2 linked regions of the Schizosaccharomyces pombe genome follow. The protein of the gene in region 1 interacts with the protein of each later gene in a biochemical or structural test. Each region holds a gene or a part of one and is shown on either strand. Other genes may lie near its edges.

Region 1 (8,822 bases):
AGGTGGGTTATACCCTGCTACCTTGAAATTTCCTTCCGTAAGTCCTTTACTATAAACCTGATGGAGACTGAACATGTGATTTAAGTTGTGGATAAGTATGATGTTTCGCATGTTTTATGTATCAACTACTTATTAAAAAATACGCGCTCTTTTTCATAAATTAACATTTGTTCAGCGTAAATAAAGAAAGTAACTCAATAATCCATTCGTTTAGAATGATCATTTAAGAGAAGTGCTTTTATTCATTAGTAATTGATGAATCCTTCGATTTATTGATGAGTAGGAAGAAATTTTATTTAAAAGATCTATCTAAGTTTTTTTTTGGGGGTTTGGTTTCTTTCTTTGAATCGCATGGCAGTACATCCGGGGTGTTCAAGCGCACGTTGATACGTGCTTAGTTTTATTTTTATTGGATTCTAACTTTTTTATGTAGGATTATCCTCTTGGCCCCCCTACTTTAAAGTTTGAGTGTGAATTTTTCCATCCAAATGGTATGCCAGATACTATTAATCCAAATTTCGAGACTAACCTTCATTTCAGTTTACAAAGATGGGACGGTTTGCATTTCCATCCTACATGCACCTGGTGACGATCCAAATATGTATGAGTCGTCTTCAGAACGTTGGTCTCCTGTTCAATCTGTTGAAAAAATACTGTTATCGGTAATGTCGATGTTGGCGGAACCAAACGATGAAAGTGGTGCTAACATCGATGCGTGCAAGATGTGGAGAGAAGATCGAGAAGAATATTGTCGTGTAGTTCGACGATTGGCTCGTAAAACCTTGGGATTATAACCATGAATTGTATATTTGATTAGATTGCCATGAATAACGAACCTGATAAAATCTAGAAATAAAGTTTTGTTCCATTTTTGAACGCAACCGGTAGGCTTTTCTCTTTCTATTCCAACGTATAACGCTACATAGGTTTAATTACAAGGTTTAAACAAAAATGAAAGCACTTTTCCAATTCAATTTCTATCTGTAAATGATGGAAGATAAACATTTTGTCTATTGAGATAATCCATCTTTTAATAAACATCACTTGAACTTTCTACACAGATACATGGCAACGTACATCGCTGAAAACGAATTATATTGAGAAAACATCTAGAAATTACACAGTAAAAAACTTAACAAAATATAAGAATAACCCCAAATTATGCTCCAAAAGAAAAAAAAAATGCATCAGGTGCATAAAAATATTAGCTTCCCACAACCTACAAAAGAAAGAGGTAAATTTTTTTACAAAATAAAAATCAGAAATTATCAAATAAAACGATCATATTCCATCTTCCAATTTTTCTTCATCACCAGTGTTTTCTTCACTACCTTTAGCAATCTCAAAATCCAGAAAAAGGTCCATTACTTTTTGCTGATTTCGAATATCAGCTTCATATATAGGTGACTTCTCATAAATATTCTTAATATGAGGATCACCTCCCGCTTCCAGTAGTAATTTGCAAATTTCAGCATGTCCATTCAGTGCTGCCCAATGCATTGCGGTGTTTCCACTCTCATTCTGAGCATTTATTACTTCTTTATTCAAGTACGGGATTATTTTTTGAACAACAGCGATGTGTCCATTAGCACTAGCCATATGAAGTCCAGAGTTACCATTTTCATCACGACGACTTAATTCTTGTGGACATTTCTCTATAATCTCATCTAGTAACTCCTCATCCGCAGCTCTACAAGCGTAAATTAAATCATCAACATCCATATTAAACTATCCAATCCAGTAAAGAAGGATGTTTTACCGGTTTATTTGGAAAGAGAATGATGTGAAAACTGTTCGTTTGTTAGTGTAAGGTAGCCGCGGCTTCTCCAACTTGGCTTCGGCAAGGCCGTGGTTACTTACTACACCACAAATTCCATTGCAATTTTATATAATTATTCAACGAGAACCTGCCTTCTACAGCAGGTTAATTTTTGATTTATAAGAAGGAGAAAAAGAAGTTACAGGAGTGTTTATTTCCGAAAGTCATAGAGATTTAAACCAGTATATATGCTTTCCTTGTAAAAAATTTCATTGCTCACACAGCTCTCGATTCCTCATCTAAATAGCTATCTGGTAGCGATTGGTAGACTATTTTTTCGGGTTTATTTCCCATTATATTTCAGACACTCTTTTTGACCTGCGAAACTTTTTGTCCTCATTTTGTATCAATTGACTTCAATAATGGAGTTAGAAAAACGGATTTATGTTGGTGGCCTTTCATCCTCTATTGAATCTTCAGATTTGGAATCCAGATTTTCTCGTTTTGGAAGTGTTTCAAATCTTGAAATTATAAACAAATCTACTCCAGTAGGAACTATACAACGATTTGCATACTTGAATTTTCGAACAGATGAAGATAAATGGCAGAAATGCAAGTCTTACTTATCAAATGCGACGTTTAAAGGAAGTAAACTTCGTATAGAGGAAGCTCGCCCTTATTATTTAGTAAAATTGCAGCAGGAAAAAAAAATTGCTGATCTTCAAAGTACTAATAATGATGAGAAAAATGAAGATCACTCCAGCAAAGTTGATCTGGAAGACCCAGTCTTTCATGGAGAAATAATTGTTCCCGGAAAACATAGTAAAAATATGCAGGTGGTCACGGATTCTGATGTTCGGAAGGATCCTCCTAGAAAAGGTTGGAAAAAAGGCCCCTATGGAAGGGCCATTGTCGTGCTTCGAATGTATAATAAAAATACTAAGAAAACGAGGTTTTTTTATCCGCTGGGTAAAAACTGCTTACAAAAACTATGGGGCCGAGTGGAAACGAATATGGACAATACTACAGCTTTTTATGATTCTGATCATGATGAGTATGTATCATATGGGGGTAAGAGAGCTTCTCGTGACAAAATACGTATGCAAGCAAAATTGGGTATCAAAGCTTCTACTCAGAAGGATGATAACGATTTTGAACTTCTTAATAACACAACTGGGGAGATTGAAGTCACAAAAGAATTAAACGAAGAGCAATTGGATGCTTTGCGAAAAAAAGATAAGGATACGGCTGCATCTGTGTTAGCTGAACTGTTTGGTTCTGAAAATACAGAAGAAATTGATACCGTATCTAAAACTTCAGGTGTTTTGGAACTGGACAATGATTCGACTAATAATTTCCAAAAAGAAGGTTTGGATGAACAAGATAATTTACAAAAGGAAGAGTCCGTACACATAGATGTTCCTGCTGAATTTGAAGCATTTGATGAGCGTACTGCTGTTGTTAACGTTGACAATTTAAAAGAAATGTTTTCTTCCAATGCGCAGGATACGTCTAAGTTTTCTCTTTTTGGCAATGAAAATGGAGTTGGTGAGGAAAGTGAAATGGAAAGTGAGATTGATGACCGTAATTACGAAACTATGGAAGAAGAGGCAGATGGGGAAACTCCGCTAGCTATAGTTAAAGCCTCATCGGGTACCAAGGGTTGGCCAAAAATGTTTACTCTACCCAATCCTTCTTCCCTATTCCAACCAGGTAATGAAGATTATACGAGCAGAGAAGCTCTTGAATCCTGGTGGTCGGAAAATCGTCTATTCTTAACTCGTGATTACAAACGAAAAAGAAAAGATGCCGTAAAAAGACAGCGAAGGGCTCATGAAAAGCGTATTCGACTTGTTTAAAGACGCGTATAGGTTATGTATTTATTGGGAATTTATTTGGGTATTTTAAGGTTACGAGGTATATATTGATTTTTTACACACTTTTGGAATCTTTACGTTGTTATTTCTCTATCCTTTTTATTTTAGAAAAAAATCTGTGTCTTTTTAAAAAGCCACGATGTTCACTTTGGTTTTATCATTGGTGAAAGTTAACAACTTTTTTCGTTGCACTTTCTTGGGATTTGTGGCTTTTAATATTTACAATGTTTGAGATCAAATTTTATTAAAATATTTGTTATTCTTATTGTTATAAGCCAAAGTTGTCAAATAAAACATACCGAAATTTTCTTACATTGTCAGAAAAATTATTTTCCTTTTCGGCATTTACAAAACCATATAATGTAAATTAGTTATAATTATCTGAATAGATTATCTTATAAAAGAAGACTGAATGTGTGCATAGAGTAGTAATTACTCAATATAAGAAGAATTTCGTACTATATGTAAGAAACAGAAATAGTGAATTACGCTGTATTACACTAGCGGTGCTTAGGCACGGTGATGAGGCAGCCAACAGTCAATGCTAGTTATCCAGAGCGAAACTAGCTGCCTTATTCGCGGCTTCTGTAAAAATGGCTTCTGCTATATTCGTTCTGAATTTAAAGGGAAAGGTAATCATTTCCCGTGATTACCGGTAGGCAATTTTGAAATCTGAATGAAAATCAGATTGTCGCAATTCGTCGACAGGTTACTAACAGAAAACAATTAGAGCTGATATCCCCATGTCAGTAGTTGAAAAGTTTTTACCTTTAAAATCAGAAGTTGAAGAAGAACAAGGATTCTCCACCCCTTGTCTCACTCACGAAGGCATTAACGTATGTAAAAGTTAGATATTATGAAAGCCAACAATTCTTATTTTTTTATGGTCGTACTAACACTTTTCAGTACATTTACATTCACCATAATGATGTCTACCTCCTTGCTTTATCCAAAATGAATTCCGATGCAATGGAGATGCTAGTATTTTTGCGTAAAATGGCGGACGTTTTTATAGATTACTTTAAAGAATTGCAGGAAGAGTCGATTCGAGATAACTTTGTTCTTGTTTATGAATTGTTAGACGAGATCATGGATTTCGGTTTTCCACAAACAACTGAAACAAAAATCTTGCAAGAATACATCACTCAAACCTCAAATACGGTAAAAAAGCATGCTCCACCCCCCATTGCTATGACAAATGCTATCTCCTGGCGTTCTGAAGGAATTCACTATCGTAAGAATGAAGTATTTTTGGACGTTATTGAATCAGTTAATTTAATTGCTGCTGCCGATGGTACGGTCATTCAAAGTGAAATCTTAGGAAAAGTTCGTCTCAAATGCTACTTATCAGGAATGCCTGAACTTCGTCTTGGGCTCAATGACAAGGTCCTTTTCGAAGCGGCTGGTCGTACCATTAAAGGAAACACTGTGGAAATGGAAGATGTGAAATTTCACCAATGTGTTCGTCTTGCTCGATTTGAAAACGATCGTACAATTTCGTTCATTCCTCCTGATGGCGAATTTGATTTAATGTCCTATCGCATGAGTTCAAATGTAAGTTATTAGTTTGTGCCTGTTCTTTTTATTCCCTCTCTCCTTTATCAACGTTTTCTAATATTAATTTCTCGTTAGGTACGGCCATTAATTTGGGTTGAATGTGAATCCATCGTGCATTCAGGTTCGAGAATTGAGTTTATGGTAAAAGCTAAGGCTCAATTCAAAAAGCGTTGTATTGCAAATAATGTCCAAATCATCATTCCCGTTCCGGAAGATGCTGACAGTCCTCGGTTTCAAACTAGCAATGGTCATGTGCAATATGCACCTGAACAAGCTGCCATGGTTTGGAACATTAAGAAATTTGCAGGTGGTAAAGAATTTTTCATGCGTGCTGAAATGGGTTTACCAAGTGTTAAAAATGAAGATATTCAAGTTCAGAAAAAACGTCCTGTTCAACTAAAATTTGCTATTCCCTATTTCACTACCTCAGGGATCCAAGTTCGTTATTTAAAAATCACCGAACCAAAACTTAATTATCATGCTATGCCTTGGGTTCGATATGTTACACAAAATGGTACTGAATATTCCATCCGTCAGTAAATGTTTCTAATGATGGTTCTCCGTTCCGTTCTTTTTTCTACCTTTAGATACCTTTCCCTTCATCTATATATTTGTTTTCTTAGTGTACTGATCCCATTTATTACGAAATGAAATCTTGTTTGCAGACGCGCTAATCCTTTTTCTTACTCAGCTGACATAAAAGGAGCATTTGCTTGAAACATAAATGTCTAAGTCTATTTATTGTATAAAGGATAAGTTCAATGTTTTTATTAAAACAGAAATAAAGATTTTCTAACATACAATTCCATTTACTCAGTAGTGAATCTCCGTGTATTAAAAATACATAAAAGACAGATTGTTCCAAACGGTTTTCTAAACATAATAAATTAAAAACCAAAAGCGAGAGAATGAGAGGGAGACCGGATAGTAAGAAAAAGATTGAAGGGAAAAGTTTAAAGGTCTAAGGGTGTAATGAGTTTTCAAGTACGTATTTACTTTGGAGGTTCAATTCCGAAAAACTTAGCACGGATGGACCACATGTTTTCACGGATGCTTCGTTCCTTCTCGCCCCAATACGGTGACGGAAACTCTTCTTCAAGAACAGGTGTAGCCTGTTTACACCAGTCGTGTAGCTTGTTAATGTAGGTAGCGTCTTTTGGATAATCCAAAGAGTGATACATATTATTTGCTCCACTCAGCGAAAACATTAATTCGTCTTGCCATTTCAGCTGCTCTTCTTTGCTGGGTAATTTGAGGCGACCAGACCAAACTCGCGCGAGGAACGCTGCCTGTGCTTGACTAGTAGGGAAAGGAACAACGTGTAGAGCTAAACCAACAAAAGCCAGAGTTGGATCGGGGATATAAAATATATGTTGATAGACATTGTGCACATGACTACCATCATCAATCAACTTGGTTTCAGGGGATTTCAACTTAGCCAGGGAAGGAAATGGTACGGAATACAAGTATCCGGTACAATAAATAACTCTGTCAATATTAGATAACACTTTTCCACCTTTCAAGTATATTTCCCTAGTGGTAGGATCGAACTTAGTAATTTCAGGTACTTGTTGCAACGATTCATTCTGTATGTCCCCTCCACCAAGAAGACTTTGATATATAGGGTGCTTAGCGACTGGCGTCAAGTGTCGGACGAGATCGTTTGCAGAAGAAGCACCACCAACTACAAGTACTGATTCACCCACGAATAATTCTGGTTCACGGAATAGCGATGAGTGTAGAACTGACCCCGGCACGGCTTTAGCGTATTCATCGAGACCTTTAATATTGGGGATATAGGGTACTTCATAATGACCATTACAAATTGAGACTGCATCAAAGATATCTTTACTAATCGGGCTTCCGGCTTTCGTTCCTTTGTATGTCACGACCCAGGAGCCATCCTTCTTTTCTATATCTAGGACATCGGTGGCTAATTTTATAAAGGGCAGCAGAGGTTGTGCATATATCCGTTGATATTCCTGAATGGTATGTCGATGGGGGAATTGAAGAGTTTGGGGTTTAAAGCTTTGATCACAATAACCCATCAACTCAATTGGGGTATTAGTTTGCAGATCACGATACAAAGGTGAAGGATACACAGGTAAAGCAGCTGGTCCGACAATGGGTTCGGTTGTTAAAATGGGATTTGTGCTAGGAACCGGTAACTTATTTGATAAAGTACTTGTATAGTTCCAAACACCACCCGGAGACCCCCTTCGCTCAAAAAGCGTGACCTGGTCAAACGCCTTTTCTGCTAACAGCGCTTTAGCCGTAACTAATCCAGAGGGACCAGCACCAATGATTGCAATTTTTCGAATTGTTGGAAGACACATAAGAACAAAAGAGAAAATGATAATTTTTTGATTAGTACCAAGTAAATTAAGATATTTTTTTTTCTGTACAAAGAATAACAGAATGAAACAATATCCAATTGTGAAGGAGTGTAATTGAATGAAAACTACACTTTATGTGCGTTTTATATCTTTGCACGTTCCGATTGTCCTCAATCTGCCAGGGGGCCTTGAAATCGCTGATAAAGCTATAGCTTATTGGCTAAAAAATAGAAGTGCTGGTTAGCGATACACATATTGAAGCCAGACACTATCTGTATATATAGTTTGTTATGGATTCAAAAACGCATCCGCTTTTCGCAACTTTAAACAATCTTTTCATCATACTCAATATTAAGCACGACTAAATTACAACATCCGATCAACATTTTAGTAATCCAAGTTCTGTTATAAGCGAGCCATATGACAAAAATGGGACATTTGAATTTCTCATTTAGAGCAAATTAAAATAATAAATGTAGTTTACACCTCTTGATGGATTTAATAATTAAGATCAAGCTGATATCCGAATGTAAATTTGACCTTGGCAACGGATTATCAAAGAGAAAATTTTTTTAGCGTCCAATGATAACAGCGTTTAAGAATTAGTTACTTATAAAGACCGAAGCGATCTTCCAGATAATGAATAGCAATACATTAGATGTGAACCTATTAATGTTGTTTAAAAGATCTAGTAAGGGCATTTTGAAAGGAAATCATGCTGATGAAAAAAAAATATATCTTTATCTTCCTAACACTTCTTGCAATGGCCATAAGAGAAAGTACGTCTCTGCTGCTCATACTTTTCAAGCATGTTGAATGCTTCAAAGTAAATGATTATAGTAATTTCCCAAATAAATATAGTTAGGTGACTTACTGACTCCGCCTAACGCGTAAGTTGGATTGTTGAAACAATTAAGCTCTTGCTGTTACAACGGTATAGCTTAATACCCAAATAATTACTTAAATGCTTTAAATCATCATAATACCAACAAACGTTCGTTTTTATAATCAGAGACAAGAAGATTTTAAGATTTGCAGGGAGGTATACTCATATATAAATTCATTGTATTTTAGAGTACTATCAATTATGTATCTCAAAGAGTATATAGTAATACATGAAATAAAAGTTTTTAAAGTTGAATTATAATTTGATGTTCTATAATTGGGGTGAATGCACCCTAATTGACAATAGAGAATTCTACGAAAAAAATCATGCATCCAGGATAGTCATATAGGATTTTGGTTAAAATTGGCAGCACAATATAGTTTTTGATGCAATTACAGTTAACATGC
Region 2 (7,080 bases), 570 kb from region 1:
CTAACAACTCTTGCTTAGAATTTTTTAATAGTTGTTGATCGTCCATAATGACTAGACAGTTAGCATGAAATTATTCGTTTATTTTTAGGACTTACCTTCATAAACATGCATTGCTGTCGCAAATAAATCAACACGCACAATAGCGGGGAAAATGTTGGAAACATCAAGAAATGCATTAAAACACAAAATAACAAATTCACTAGCTTTTTTATTGGTAGCTGATTCAGCTGGATCAGAACGTAGGCCCGGCACTCTAACCGTTAAAGCTAATGTCAATATTTTGACCAATTGAAAAAGCATTTCGACGCTTTCTGATACAGTAGGCTCCATAGATGTTACAGAATCTGTTTCACAAAACTTCAAGTCATTGTGTGCCGGGTTAGCAAGAGCTAACTTTTTCACAAAAATGACAATACTAGCCTTCGTTTCCCAATCCTCCGTCAAAATCAAACGAACTAAAAGATCAACAACTTCGGGGAACACATTATGGTCATAAAGAACCTTGGTACATAATTCTTCAGTTAAAACTTCAGTCATAATTCGCATAATTCTGAAAACTGGATTTCTAAAGCCTTGCAAAGTGCTTGGAATTAAGAGAGATTGGAAGCAGACACTAAACAAAAAAAAGTTAAAAGAGTACCTGTTGGAAGCATAATTTATGTTGTCTTGGAAGAATACGTCCTCCTCAGAAAGCGACAGCTCATCTCCACTTAATATTCCATAAATCAGATTTGCATCAGTAGAAAGTAATATTGTTAATGACTCTGCGATGTTCAGCCAAGATTTCTCATAAATATTGAGAAGTATTTTAGGGTTTATACTTTGGACCCGAGTGAAAGAGGTATCAGCTACAAAATCTTTTACTAAACTAGGACCAAATTGCAATCTGGAATATCCTCTTAAAGCCATAATCCAATGCGAAGATAGCCTTCGGATGTTAGAGGAAAGAAATTCTTTCAAATATGACACATTCGCTGAATGTACCAGCAAAGAAGCCCAAGCTGATAAAGTAGCAATACGAAGAAAATATTTCGAGTCATACTTAAAGTGACGATTTTCCTCAAATCCAGCCCTCTCTGGTAAACTAGATTCCAACGCTTCTTTCAATAAATTGAGGATTTTAGCTGCTTGCGATTCGGTTTTTAGAAGTCCAGTTCCAATAAAATTGGAAGCTATATTAAGAGACATGGCTACTATTTCAGGAGATGAATCATCTACAAACGCGGAACTAAAAGCAGAGCTGATTTGAGCTTGAAATTGGTCCAAAAGAGAAACATCGTCAAAGTCAGGATCCATAACATTCGAAAAGTCCTAAAAAATTGTTAGCGAGTTTCCTTTAGATTATCCTTACCGTTATGATAGTATCCAAAAGTTCAAAACCCCCCTGCTTCAAGTAAAAGTTGTCTGAAGTAGACAAAACAAAAGCAGCACGGACTAGGTCAGATATCCTAGAAATCAAGTATTTTGCGGGCTCTTTATTTTCGGCCATCACTTCAGAGATACATGTTTTAAGGCATGTAGCTGCATAAAACTGCGTCTGCCAACGGTAATTCTTCTGGAATAATGGATTACTTGCGTTTTCGGAAGTTCCATAAGCCAAAGATACGGTATCTTCATCTAGGTTGTTTTGTATATCTTGTTCGTTGGATCTTTCAGAACTCGAAGTATTTTTTATGCCGACAAGAAAAAGTAAAATATTTACCCATGAGTGTATGTCCGAATCTTTGTAATCGTTTAGCCAGATATACAGTATGTTCTTCAAAAGCTTGTTGTCAGGAGTGGTGTCGAGTGATTGCCAAATAAGCCTATCAAAATGTCGCTTATAACATGATTCCGAGAACTCATGGTTTTGAAGCAATATTTGGTATAAAACTTCAATAGAAATTTCCCTACGTTTAGGTTGCTTTAGGTCAATTATGTTACCACAAAGCTCCCTAATGAAGAAATCAGAATTGGTTTCTAATGGTGTAAATAGATATAGGTGCTGATAACATTTGTAAACGTGTATAATGTTATCTCCCGTATCTCTACTAAGTAAAAGCAATTGGTGAGCTAAATCGAATGCGAAATGCGAAGTAGAAGAATCGGATCGCAAGTTTGGTCCAAGCTCATTTATCAAACAATCCAAGTAATTGGCAAAAAGAGTGGACGGGAAAAATAAACTGTTTCTCTTCTTTAAGAGCTGAACATCAATATCACATTCTGGCAATAGCATATAGCTCAATAAAATGCGTGTCTGGGCAGTTAAAACACTCGGAATGGTCTTTGCGATAGACCCAAGAGAAACGGAAGAAGCACGAATAGAACACTCTCTAACAAGGTCATTCGAATCAGTATTAAAAACTTTGAGCAGCTGATAAGCGGTGATGAGGGTAGTTTGGGGAACTCCGGAACCAACCTTTTTTAATATATGGCCAACGGCTAGAATCAAGACAGCCCTGCAATTTGGATCTCCCGACTCTGCAGCACGTTTAATTATTGTATCCAAAACGGACGTCGGTTTGCTTTGATATAAATATGCCAAAAACGCATAAGATTTCGAAATGTAAGGAATTAACTTCGGATCGTTAACAGCAGTCAAGTTTTCGAGCAATTCTATCATAAGGGATACAACCTTGTCAGGCAAGGTAACTTTTTTGTTATCGAAAGCAGAGAGAAATCCATAAATGGAAAATAAAGTATTTGCTGTTACTGCCTTGTAACGTAAAATATCTCTCCCACTCTTGAGGTTTGTCACAGACGCTACCATAATTTCGAGAGTGCTCTCCATAACCTTCGGAGGTTGATGACAAAACATAGACGCAAATAACTGGATCGCGTTATCAATTAAAGAAGTTAAAGACGGGGGTACGTAAGGAAGTTTTGCAGAGTTTGATCTCGAAATCACTGACAGGGAATCAGAAGATGACTCGCAAATATAACAAGGAAGTATATCATCCATGGTTGTTTGAAATTCTTCCTCTGGCTGAGCGTAAAATCGTGAACCAATTCCAGGTATAACTCTTGGAGAAGTAAAGGCTTTCGCTTGAACTATTTCGTCCGCAGTATCATATCCTTGTAAAGAAGAAAGTTCGGCTATAGTAGACACAGTCGTGGATAGTAATTCTTGATCATCTAAACTCATTCCACTTAACTGAGACAACTCGAAGAAACATTGGAAAATCCGAGCAAGCAAGAGAGAGCGAAGTTCCAAGTGAGAATAATCTGAAGCGGGAATTGGCATGGTAATTTCAAGCCTTTTGGTTAACGAAAAAGCTTTGTAGAATTTAAGGCAGTTATTTAGGAAAATAATGACTCGCTTCCTAACATCAGGTGTGAATAAAATCTTGTTATACTCCAAAAACGAAAGCAAGCACTGTAACGCTTCAAACCGATTAAACATGTCTGCATTTGTCTCCATGAAATTTTGTGAATGTATTTTTGAAGGTACTCTGGAAAGGGCATTCTTCCATAAAATTAGCAATTGGGACAATTGCATTCTAGTAAAAGAAGGACCAAAAGAAACGTAAGCGCTTAATAGTCGCCAACCAGTCTTGATTTGTGCTTGTGCCGCTAATAAATCCAATTTAGATGATGACTTAATCAAATCCAAAGAGAAGTTAAATAACTTTGAAAATATAGAAGAAGCAACATATAGAGGATTTTCTTCGGCGGCAACATAAATCGACATCAACGACAAAGTAAGATTATTGAAAATACCAACATTCAATTTGGGACTTACTTCCTTAGGTTTAGAACGAAGGTGCTTAAATTCCAACTCTAATCTATTAAAAAGAGCAAGCAAAGTGGGCATTAAAGGAGAAGGCATAACGGATAGTAAACAGCGCAGCAACCAGGCTACTTCATTCTTCAATGAATCTTTACCCAAGTATAGAATCTGTAGTGTAGTATCTAGTAACTGACTATATAAAGCAGTAGCCGAACCCTTTGATCGGCTTAATATATCAGCGGTGGAAGCCATCGCAGTCTTAACAGCAATTTCCGAAATCTTCGACTGATCTTTTAAATAAGGCTCTAACACTCTCTTTAAAAGTATTTCAATTCCCTGCAATTCAGAGCTTTGATCGAGAAATCGCCTTCCAATCACATCGCGAAACAAGTATGTACAATGATATTGCTCCAACGAAGACAACCATTCTTTTGAAGTAGAGTGTGATTGGTGTAATAGAATAATATCCACTATAGTAGTGTAGTTGAGAGAAACAAAGGATGGACGTTGCATTAGAAAAAGATGCTTAACGGCAAAAACAAGAACCGCTTTTGAGCTTTCATACTTTGCATGCTTGGAGTGATAATTTTCGACAAGAATCCGTAGGGCGTGACGAAAACTCTCAGTTTCATCAAAACGGCGAGTAGTAGACCGATTTTCTACTTCCTCATTGTTCTCATCATCCGCTGGAGTTGAGGGTACTGCGTTTGCAGCGGCTTCAATCGATTTGTCAGCTTGAGCACTTGCAAGTGCAGAAAAGCATCTTCCTAAAGAAGAATGGAGCAAAGAATTATCAATTGATGATTTTTTAAATAGAAAAGATTTGAACCATTCCAATTCTGAATTACGAAGACGTGAAGAGCCCAGAATGTAGTAAGCGCAACGAAGTGCAGATAAAAGAACATTCGTTGATGAAGTGTTTAAATTTGATTTAATACATTTCCATATTTCTTTTATCAAATCTTCATTCGTAGACTGAATAGATGTTTCAATGCATTTCGACAGTCCATCTAATGCGATTGAGCGAACTCCATATGACAAATTGGTTTTCGAATATTTGAAGAAAAATCTTATAAAAGTCTCTTGCTGATTGATCTATTAAGGTTAATTATAAGTTTATAGAAAATATCCAAAAGAGTAATACCTGATTTCCATATTCTTCCAAGCAAGAAGTCAGAACGGATAAAACGTTACTACCGGTTAGTTGATATTTCAAATATTCTAGACATACATAATCTCTATATAGTCTTTTTTCTCATGAATGCTATCCACGAAGTAAAGTAAAACTCGATGCTGATGATAACCCTCGACTAATACTTGTTAACATATACCATTTTCCATAAATCTCACATACGTCCTTTTAAGAGTGCAATTATACAGTTAGAAAGAAGTTTTCTAGTTGGATAAGCAATAAAATTTCCATATTTTTTGATTAACGAAAGTAGGGGATTTAAATTAGTTTGTAATGAATCCTCGCGAGTATTTTTGTTCAGATTCCTCAATTGTTTTTCGTAATTGAGTAAATCAATATATATGGTCTCCCTCTTATCTACATCAGCTACTTTCGTCAACTTTTCGAGCGGCAATGATGCTAACGACATATGTGGAGCGGCCAAACCAATTTCCCTAGGCTAAATCTATATACATTGAGTTGCGAGGTACTGAAATCTGCAGTCGACATTTACACGATTTACAATAAATTAATAATCAAATAGTCTATAGATAATATATTTATTATTATCATTATAATTAACCACTTTACTTATCAACCACGAACACAAAGATGTTTTAAATTGTAGGAGACTACTAGAATGCAATAGCCATTCCGAGTATCGTTAATTTTAAAATTAAATAAAACAACGAAAAGTCATTTATAGATTTAGTTTTGAAATGGACAAAAATTTTGTCTGAGAAGGCAAAAATCACAGCTCAACGCTAGTATGAGCATCTGCAATGCAAACAATTATTATGCTATTCATAATGGTATTTCCATGTACAATAAGAACAAGGGGTCTCATGATCAGAAGGAGTACTAATAAAACTTAATATTTGCATATTTCCATAAAACCTAATTGAACATTTTCATAAACAAAGAAGAAAACACAAAAAAAAAGAAAGGACAGATATTAATGAAGAGCTCGAAATGCTTTGCTGGCCATAACTCACATATGGGAGAGATTAGTATCAGTATAATCATCGCGCTTGTTATCTAAATTAAATGAACCTAAATTATCAAGCTCATCTTGTTTTTCTTTTTTTCTGCTTCGTACTCCAAGTCCAAATGGAATAACCAGCACTAAAAACCCTGTAAAAGCCATCACCACACCTGAAAAAGAAAAGGAAATTAATAAATGAAATTTCAAATACCTAGTTTGAACTATAAATATACTTACCTGCTGCTTTTCTTATTTGGTCCCATTTCTGCCTCTCATTTTCAGCCCTCAATTTACCTAACGAAACGGCTAATAAATTGTGTAGTTCAACAATTCTTGCACTCAATTGCTGGACTTCATTCTTTGTATCATTTTTCCGATTTTCAAACTCCATTTTGCTTTCGGTATTAAGCTTGTTTAACTGCTCGTGAACCAATTGTTCCAAACTTTCTACTTCCCTTTGGTTTGAAAACAAGCCTGAACGTAACGAACTGATTTGATCTTTTCTCATATTTATTTTCTCTGAGCGAAGCTCCGACAAAGCTGTACGAAACAAATAGGAGCACTATACAAGTTAGCTATGACAGTTCATTTGAAAGCAAAAAAAACCGTCAATCTATAATTAAAGATAAATTTAAAGACGGAAGGATTCTGTAGCTTAATAAATCATACGTACATTTTCAAAATCAGCTTCAGACAGGTAATTGAGATGACTATGTCGCAGCATATCAGTAACAAACATATTCGTGACTTCGAGAAGACCCTCGGCCTCTTTTTCTGTATATCCTTTATCCATTAAAGTTTTCAAAAATGTAAATGTGTTGAAGTGATATCCTTCAAGGTCTCTGAAAGGACGATTTTCGTGATTGGCATTTACTACTGAAAGACCCTTTTCCATTTCACCTGCATCTGTCCCTTCTGATGCATAAAATCGAATTTGCTTCGTTAAGGATAAAGAATAAGGAATTAAACGAAAAGTATTGATACTATGCACTTTAATCCCATGCAAGGTAATTCGGGATCGATTAACATCTATAGCTTTTCGTAGCAAAGAGAACATTTTGTCAAGCTACCAAATTTTGATTATAAATTAAGCAACTTATTAACAGACATAATTAATTTTTGTTAAAAATTGGGTACGATGATTGTGGTGAATGTTAAATGTACATATCAGAAGGCGTAAAGGAGTAGTATGGGTGTACCCATAGAAAATAATAA

Evidence for each region.
Region 2: the proteins of apm1 (region 1) and sip1 form a complex in vitro, tested with the Schizosaccharomyces pombe proteins (2 studies listed by BioGRID).

Annotation. Positions count from the first base shown.
Region 1 is NC_003423.3:1,905,951-1,914,772, forward strand, and holds apm1 (AP-1 adaptor complex mu subunit Apm1), read left to right. Parts: upstream 1-4,190; 5' UTR 4,191-4,229; coding exon 4,230-4,291; exon of another isoform or gene 4,292-4,366; coding exon 4,367-4,472; exon of another isoform or gene 4,473-4,542; coding exon 4,543-5,190; intron 5,191-5,268; coding exon 5,269-5,733; 3' UTR 5,734-5,865; downstream 5,866-8,822. Other genes in the region: ubiquitin-conjugating enzyme Ubc7, read left to right, coding at 1-37, 434-491, 541-794; ribosome biogenesis protein Yar1, read right to left, coding at 1,282-1,722; ribosome biogenesis protein Nop8, read left to right, coding at 2,182-3,618; fmo1 (flavin dependent monooxygenase), read right to left, coding at 6,186-7,529. UniProt on the Schizosaccharomyces pombe protein: Component of the adaptor complexes which link clathrin to receptors in coated vesicles. Clathrin-associated protein complexes are believed to interact with the cytoplasmic tails of membrane proteins, leading to their selection and concentration.
Region 2 is NC_003423.3:1,333,954-1,341,033, reverse strand, and holds the start of sip1 (Pof6-interacting protein Sip1 AP-1 accessory protein), read right to left. Parts: upstream 5,324-7,080; 5' UTR 5,311-5,323; coding exon 5,064-5,310; intron 5,020-5,063; coding exon 4,941-5,019; intron 4,903-4,940; coding exon 4,854-4,902; intron 4,805-4,853; coding exon 1,352-4,804; intron 1,312-1,351; coding exon 96-1,311; intron 52-95; coding exon 1-51. Other genes in the region: SPOM_SPBC27B12.07 (uncharacterized protein), read right to left, coding at 5,872-6,035, 6,103-6,427, 6,539-6,922.